Ovis aries: one gene and its partner. The protein of the gene in region 1 interacts with the protein of each later gene in a pairwise test. Links are inferred from orthologs where the notes say so. Each region holds a gene or a part of one and is shown in the gene's direction. Other genes may lie near its edges. The genes, in order: BRAP and NUMA1.

Region 1 (4,548 bases):
TGAGATCCTGAGCAAGTGACTCTCTGAGCCTCAGGCTCCTCCTCCATAAAATGGGAAAAATTATAGTACCTGTCTCATGAAGTTGTTCTTATTACTACACAGAGACAAAGTATGTATTAATAAAGCACTCAAGTTAGTACCTGGCACAACATTAAATGTTATCTGCTACTGTAATATACTATAAAGTTCACATGAGATATCATATATTATATATATATAGTGGGATGCATATGGCAGATACAGTTCCACAAAAGTCAGCAACTGCCACTGTGGGGAATTTTGGCCCCAAGGGGACATCTGGGAATGTCTGGAGACATTTTGGTGGTCACCAGTTGGAGGTGCTACTGGTACCTAGTAGGTAAGGCCAGGGATGGTGCTAACTATTCCATTAAGTGCAGAATATACACACAACCCAAAGGCTTAGTGAATCCAATCATGTTAACAGTGCAGAGGTTGAGAAATCATGATATAAAGGGTACACTGAAACTAACTCATAGTGTGCAGTCATAAGGTGTAAACGTCAGGTGGTCATGATATGGATTTGTAGTCCACACACCTACGTATGTCTAGGACAGTGTGTGCTCTGACACACTCACATGTCATAACATATATCTATGTAGCATCTTGTCACATACATGCTATATATGTATTGATTGTGGCTCTCCATGTTCACGTGCCAAAGGCAAGTCTTGTTCAGCGGCTAAGTCCTTTAGGACTCCTTGCGACGCCATGGACTGCAGGATACCAGGTTTCCCTTTCCTTCACTATCTCCGAGTTTGCTCAAACTCATGTCCGCTAGGTCGGTGATGCATCCAACCCTCTCATCCTTTGTCGCCCCCTTCTCCTCCTGTCCTCAATCTCAAGTCTGGGGTATTGAAAAGAATGCGGACTCTCAGAAAAATTAATGTAAACAGAGTCACAGCCTCTACTTGCTTCATCCTCATAGCTGTATAAGGATATCACACAATTTTATGAAAAACCTCGCTCAAGGTCACACAACTAGGGACAAGGTCAAATCCATAAGAACAGGAATTGGGTGTTCATCTTATTTACCAATGTATCCCCACCACCCCAACAGTCCCTACTCCCTATTGGCCCTCAGAGAAAGAAGCCGATTCATCTCTATGCCTCAGGGCACCGATTTGTAAAGCGTGGCTGACACAAAGCAACCCTGCCTACAGCTGGAGCGAGAGATCAAACAGGACAAAAAGAGGCTAGAGCTCTCTGAAGGGTGCGGGTGGCTCGGACAATTGGGAGACCTCGCGGAGTCTGAGACCCCTCGCCGTCAGATGAGCTGGGCTGAGAACGAGGTCTCTCAGGTAGGCTAACTCAGGTCTGGGCGCAAACCCACCGATCCGCCTAATGAAAGCCCAGCTCCCGAGATTCCCGTGACGTGCCTCCTCCACGATTTCTTCCAGATTCCGTACGCAGGGTGTAGGCTCACCTCAGCGAAAACACACCAGTCACGTGGCTACCGCCACACCCAATCAAAGAGCGCGCTGGCATGCGCATGCGTAACCTCACGGGACAACGACGGCGGCCGGGAGGCGGAAGTGGAGCTTGTTGTGGCTCAAAGGGTTGCTCGCGGAGGTGCTGCTGCTGCTGAGGCGGTGGCGGCGCTGCCCGCCCCGGGCCTCTCTACCTGTAGGCTCGCCTCCCACCCTCGCCTGAGCCCGCCGGGGCCTTCGCCGGCCAGCGGCTGCCCTATGAGTGTGTCACTAGTTGTCATCCGCCTGGAGCTCGCAGAACACTCGCCGGTCCCCGCCGGCTTCGGCTTCAGCGCTGCCGGTGAGTCCGCGGCCTCGCCGCCTCTCCCGTGGCCCGCGCCTGGGCCCCGGGGCGCGTCCCCTCAGAGTCTGGGTCCGGGCAAGGGCCTCCGCTTCAGGAGGAAGCCGAGAAGTGGTTGGGATCCCTCATGCCCCCACTATCCTTGGGAGGTCTCTTCCCAGGTGTCACCTGTGGGAAGTCTTTCCCGGTCCCTCCTTCCTGGTGCCTTCCCACCGGGACTTTGTTTATATTTGGCGCGTCGCTCTCTCACCAACCTGGGTGAGAGCCTAGTTGTGCGAATTGATTTTCTCTAGGCTGCCGTCTCTGGGGTCGCACAGAGTCGGACACAACTGAAGCGACTTAGCAGCAGCAGCAGCAGCAGCAGGCTTTGTGAAGGCAGACAGGGAATCCCCAGCACGCTGACGGCTTCTGGTTTAATTAAATTCTTCCTTTTTGAAAAACCATACATTTGGGCGCCCTGTAGCAGTGTTACAATTGTAACTGAAAATGTGTACACTTCTATATCCGAGCACTGTACTAAACACCTCGTGTGCACACTCCTATATCTTCATACAACCCAATTAGTTTTATGGGTGTATGAGGCTTTTACAAACTGGAACTGAAGCCCTGGGATTAAGTGCCTTACCCAGGATTATCTCTCCGTGGCAAAACTGGAATTCTACCTCAAAGAGCTGGACTTGAGAGTCTGAGCTCTTCATTCCGTCACACAGCCTCCTCCTGGGAAATGCAGGTATGGCTCTGTCCCTTGAACCGCCAGCAACGCATCATTCATTCAAGGAATACTTCATGAGTGCTCACTTTCTGTTGGGCTTTAGTTTTGTGCGGAAAGATAAATGGTCCCTGCTTTAAGGGCACCAGCAATTTACTTCAGTTCATAGAGATAGATTAGTTAAATAATTACAGGATAAAAGTAGAATACAGCTGTGACAAATGTACAGTAAGGGAAGGTAGAAAGCTGGAAAGGAATTTGGAAAGCTACCATGAGAGCATGTGTTTAGTTTGGGGAAGAGGCCTGGGGCTGGTAGGGATGGTCTTGTGGGAAACTTCCCTGAGTGTGTGAATTTTTGAGCTGCAAACTAAAGACTGAATATAATTAAATAGGCTACTGAGTTCTGAAAGTTGAATTAGTTGACATAAGCAACATATACATTTTTACATGGTTCAGTCATTGAGTCATTAATTTATTCAGCAAATCTTTAAAGAGCTTCCAGTGTGTGCTAGGCACTGTGATGTAAGTACTGAGGATACAGTGATGGGCAAAAGAGGCTTGATCTCTCTTCACATAAAGCTTATATTAAGGATATTTCTGTCAAGTCTCCGAATTCATTTTTCATTTTTGTGTGTTTTAGTGATTTAAGAAAATGATCACAGTTTTTCAGGACAAGGTGGCATTAGGCTAACCCAGGTTGTTTAAGAAGACTGACCTCAAAGTTTTGTTGATTAGTGGACTTGATGCCCTCATTTGGGGCCCAACACAATTTCATTGTTACAAGTGTTACTAAAGTGTTGGTTCATCTGAGCAGGATCACTATCAAAGCTCTTATCTCCTTCATTTGCTTTAAAATGCATGATTTCGTTTAGGACCATCCTGCATTTCTGAGTTTATTGCCCTGGGCATTAACTGACTGTACTGCAGGAGCCCCAGAGATGAGTGAGAAGGACCCTGCAAAAGGTATCTTATAGTCTTGAGGGAAGGCAGCAGAGAGAAAAAGGAAACCTGTGGATGGATACATTGAGAGTGGAAAGAGGCTTGTTTTATTATCAGATATTAATTATTCATGTATTCTTTAGTTGGGGAAATGTCTGATGAGGAGATCCAAAAGAAGACACTAGCTTCAGCTGTAGCCTGTTTAGAAGGGAAGTCACCAGGGGAGAAAGCAGCAATCATACATCAGCATCTTGGTCGTCGAGAAATGACAGATGTGATCATTGAGACCATGAAGGCCAACCCAGGTATGCTTTCCAAAATGCTAGGCTATCTTCTGTAAGGTAAATCCATGGTTGCTTATGTTGGAGTGGTGTTCAGTGAGCCTGTGATAAAGATCTCTAGCATACTTTAGCTTTTACTGCCTATGTTCCTTACATGAAGCTGTCAGGGTGGATTTCAGTTTCTCTAAATATTTCTTCTAAATTACTCATAACAAGCTAGGTTGACAACTGTCCTCAGTGAGGAGAGCTACTTAGCACGTAAGTCTGTGGCAGTTCATGTTGAATCCAGATAAGCACGTTGTGACTCCCCCTGCTCTGCCAGCTCGCTCCATCCAGGGGGGTGGATGTGTATTGCATCTCCAGTGTGGAGAACTGGTAGGTTGGTTTTCAAACTTTCAAATAGCCCTGAATATTTGTCCCACTTAGGAGTGCATAGCTCAGTTGGTAAAGAATCCGTCTTCAATGCAGGAGACCCTGGTTTGATTCCCACATTGGGAAGATCCACTGGAGAAGGGATAAGCTACCTACTCCAGGATTCTTGGGTTTCCCTTGTGGCTGAGTTGGTAAAGAATCTGCCTGCAATGCAGGAGACCCTGGTTCGATTCCCGGGTTGGGAAGATCCCCTGGAGAAGGGAGAGGCTACCCACTCCAGTATTCTGGCCTGGAGAATTCTATGGACTGTATAGTCCATAGGGTTGCAAAGAGTCAGACACAACTGCGCAACTTACACTTTCAGGAGTGCATGATGGAAGACACCTGCCTTATTATGGTACTTCTCAATGTAAAGTCAACGTCCTTCAGTTTCTGAGGGTGTTAATGACATGGGGGCGG
Region 2 (3,803 bases), on another chromosome or scaffold:
CCAAGGGGCAGCACTGAAGGAGCTTCAGCAAACCGTGGAGCGACTGAAAGAACAGCTGGCCAAGAAAGAGGAGGGGCGCCCGCAGTCTCTTGGGACAGCCAGCCGAGAAGACGCTTCTGGATTGCGAACCCAGTCCAAGGCTACTGGAAAGACTGAGCCAGAAGGCTCTGAACTGCAGGCTCTGCAGGCAGAGGTGAGCCGGCTGGAACAGCAGGCCCGTGAGTACCAGGAGAAGGCCTCCAGCCTGGAGCACAGCCTTGAGTCTGAGCGTACCACCCACGCGGAGCAGGCCAGTACTCTGAAGACTCTGCGGGGCCAGTTAGAGCAGAAGGCCCAGGAGCTGGGGAGCAGTCAGGACGCCTTAGCCTCAACCCAGAGGGAGTTGGCCACGCTCCGCGCCAAGGCCCAGGAGCACGGCAAGGCTGAGGACGAGTGGAAGGCCCAGGTGGCCCGGGGTCAGCAGGAGGCCGAGAGAAAAAACAGCCTCATCAGCAGCTTGGAGGAGGAGGTGTCCATCCTGAACCGCCAGGTGCTGGAGAAGGAGGGCGAGAGCAAGGAGCTGAAGCGGCTTGTGGTTGCCGAGTCAGAGAAGAGTCAGAAGCTGGAAGAGCGGCTGCGCCTGCTCCAGGCGGAGACCGCCAGCAGCAGCGCTAGGGCCGCGGAACGCAGCTCCGCGCTGCGAGAGGAGGTCCAGACCCTCCGGGAGGAGGCTGAGAAGCAGCGGGTGGCTTCTGAGAGCCTGCGGCAGGAGCTGGCCTCACAGGCGGAGCGAGCAGAGGAGCTGGGCCAAGAGTTAAAGGCCTGGCAGGAAAAGTTCTTCCAGAAGGAGCAGGCCCTCTCGGCCCTGCAGCTGGAGCACACCAGCACACAGGCCCTGGTGAGCGAGCTGCTGCCTGTCAAGCACCTATGCCAGCAGCTGCAGGCTGAGCAGGCTGCTGCTGAGAAGCGCCACAGGGAGGAGCTGGAGCAGAGCAAGCAGGCGGCTGGCGGGTTGCGGGCAGAGTTGCTGCGGGCCCAGCGCGAGCTTGGGGAGCTGCTGCCTCTGCGGCAGAAGGTGGCAGAGCAGGAGCGTGTGGCTCAGCAGCTGCGAGCGGAGAAGGCCAGCTACGTGGAGCAGCTGAGCATGCTGAAGAAGGCGCACGGCCTGCTGGCAGAGGAGAACCGCGGGCTGGGCGAGCGGGCCAGCCTCGGCCGGCAGTTTCTGGAAGTGGAGCTGGACCAGGCCCGCGAGAAGTACAGCCAGGAGCTGGCAGCTGTGCGTGCTGATGCTGAGACCCGTCTGACTGAGATGCAGCGGGAAGCTCAGAGCACTGCCCGGGAGCTGGAGGTGATGACCGCCAAGTACGAGGGTGCCAAGGCCAAGGTCCTGGAGGAGAGGCAGCGTTTCCAGGAGGAGAGGCAGAAACTCACTGCCCAGGTGAGGCCCTGGCTCAGCCACACCCCTGGAGAGCAGACCTGAGAGGCGGAGACATCGTCCCTCTACATTCCCCGGCCTCTGATCCCCATGTGATGCCAGAGTGTCTGGGTGGCAGGAGGAGAGGTGGCTGCTAGTACAGGGTGTCTGTGGCCCCTGCTGGCCTACAGAAACTCCCCTTCCCCGAAGGCTCTGTCTCTGGTGAGGCAGGCTGTGAGAGCCATCAGCCAGCCCCTTGAGGCACTCTGTCATGAGGAGGCACACTTACAGTGGAGGCCCCAAGAGCCACCAGGGCCTCCAATGAGCCAAGATGGCATTTAAAGAGGCTGCTAGACATCTAGTTCCCTGGGGGCAGATCAGAGCCTCGGTGCGGTCAGCCTGGGAGCAGGGCGGGTGCCTTTTGGGCCCCCATCTCATGCTGTCTCCGTTGCTCCCCCATGCGCAGGTGGAGCAGCTAGAGTTATTTCAGAGAGAGCAGACTAAGCAGGTAATACCTGAGGTCCTCGATAAATGCTGGCTGCTTAAGCGGTGACTGGTCTCGGTGCATGACCCCGGCTGCAGCTTGCCTCCGTGGGCTCCTGTTGTGAACTGTTTGTGAAGGGGCAGGGTCACGCCGTGGAACCCAGGCCGTCCCGGAGTGCGGTGTGCTGGGCCCTCTCAGGCCCCGCCCCACCCATCCCAGGTCGGCCTCTCCACCCGTCTGTACTCTCATCGTCTCTCAGGGATGAGGGGTAGGGCAGGCTTCGTCTTTCCTGTACCAGGTCCAGAGACAGCCTGCCCTTGGGACTCCCAGACCTCCAAGTCCTGCTCCCAGTTTGGGTACTCAGCTGTCGGGACTTACAGTTTGGCCACAGGCCTGGTGTGGCACAGCTCCCTTCTTTCCTGCAGAAGCCAGAAAGGTGATGTGCCAGGCGGCCCCCACAGATTACCAGGGCCTTGAGCTCAGGACGCTTGCCCATCACCCTCTGGGGTTTTTAACCTCCAGCATAAGATAGAGATGTCTGGGAGCAGGAAGGTCAAGGTTGAGAGGAGGTGAGGTCTGACTGCCTCGCCCTTACCAGGGTGCTTCCCTAGACATCAAAGCTATCAAACTGGCATTTAGTGGGCGCCCCCTTCCTCTACCCCCTTTCCTACCCCATCATCTGGGGCCTGCTGAGGAGCTGGGCCCTCCTCTCCTCTCATCCCCTCCTCCAGGGAGCCTGAGATGATGGGGAAGGTCAGACAGAAGAGCAAACAGTTAGCAATGGAGCTCCCGCCTTTTGCCTTCACTGATCATGCTTGAGCTCCCAGAAAGCCCGGGGGAGCCAGGAGCGTCTGTGGCTGCCATGCGCCCTCTCATCCCCTTCCTCCCTGAGCCCTTCCTCTCTGTGGGGGTGGGGTGGGCGTGGAATACGTGTGCTACCCTGCTCTCGTCTTCCAGCTGCCTGACCCCAGTGCTAATCACAGCCACCACACCACTAGCGCCAGCCCTAATGGCCTGTGCATGTCGAGGAGAGGTCCGAGCAGTTGGGATTTTGCTCTGCCAGTTTCTTGTGGGGCGAGGGGGTGGGGTAGTCATTGAGTGTGTCTGCTGGCGTTATAGATGGGGTCCCCTGTTCCTGTCCCGCCGTGGGACGGTTGGGGCTGGGAATGGTGGCGGTAAGTCGTGGTGGGGTGTCAGCTCCTGAGTGGCCCCGCTGCGTCTGTCTCTGAAGCAGGGGCTGGAGGCAAGCGTGAGCAGGTGGCTCTGACAGCACTTGCGTTGGGTCACGTCACTCAGGTCCTGCCCACCAGCCACGGCGGCCCTGAGTTTCTTATGGGGACACTGGGGACTGGCCTGGGGAAACCCCATAATTTGTCTGGACCTTCAGCAGAAGGCCCCCTGAGTCTCTCTCCTCTTGCTTCCCTGCCCCAGGTGGAAGAACTGAGCAAGAAGCTAGCTGACCATGAGCAAGCCAGCAAGGCGCAGCAGCAGAAGCTGAAGGTGGGACAGCAGGGGATAGGCCTGCCCTCATCGGCTCAAGGGAGCAGGGAGGGAAGCGCTGAGCCCTGGCTGGGCCACCTTGGGACCTGGCAGCCTCAGGAGCCCTGCCTGTGCATCTGCGAGCTCCTGAGAGACCAGAGTGGCTCGCAACCTGCAGACCTTCACTGTCTGCTGCAGTAGCCACTAGCCATGTGTGGTTATTTAAATAAAAAATTCAGTTTCTCAGTCATGCTAGCCACGTTTCCATAGCTCAGTAGCCATGTGTGGCTAGTGGCTACCATACTGGACAGGACAGATCAGAACATCTACAGCACCGCAGAGGCTTCAGTTGGGTTGTGCTGTTTAATCTCAGGGAATGAGTGTTAGTGACATTTAGCACTACAGTGCAGCTGAATGTTCTCAATGCTTTCCGTGGTGTCACCTTCT

The links.
Region 2: the proteins of BRAP (region 1) and NUMA1 interact in a two-hybrid assay, tested with the Homo sapiens proteins (2 studies listed by BioGRID and IntAct). The link is inferred for Ovis aries from reciprocal best matches to the Homo sapiens genes BRAP and NUMA1.

The regions. Positions count from the first base shown.
Region 1 is NC_056070.1:55,361,346-55,365,893, reverse strand, and holds the start of BRAP (BRCA1-associated protein), read left to right. Parts: upstream 1-1,562; 5' UTR 1,563-1,706; coding exon 1,707-1,788; intron 1,789-3,579; coding exon 3,580-3,741; intron 3,742-4,548. UniProt on the Homo sapiens protein: Negatively regulates MAP kinase activation by limiting the formation of Raf/MEK complexes probably by inactivation of the KSR1 scaffold protein.
Region 2 is NC_056068.1:50,378,219-50,382,021, reverse strand, and holds part of NUMA1 (nuclear mitotic apparatus protein 1), read left to right. Parts: coding exon 1-1,417; intron 1,418-1,859; coding exon 1,860-1,901; intron 1,902-3,308; coding exon 3,309-3,377; intron 3,378-3,803. UniProt on the Homo sapiens protein: Microtubule (MT)-binding protein that plays a role in the formation and maintenance of the spindle poles and the alignement and the segregation of chromosomes during mitotic cell division.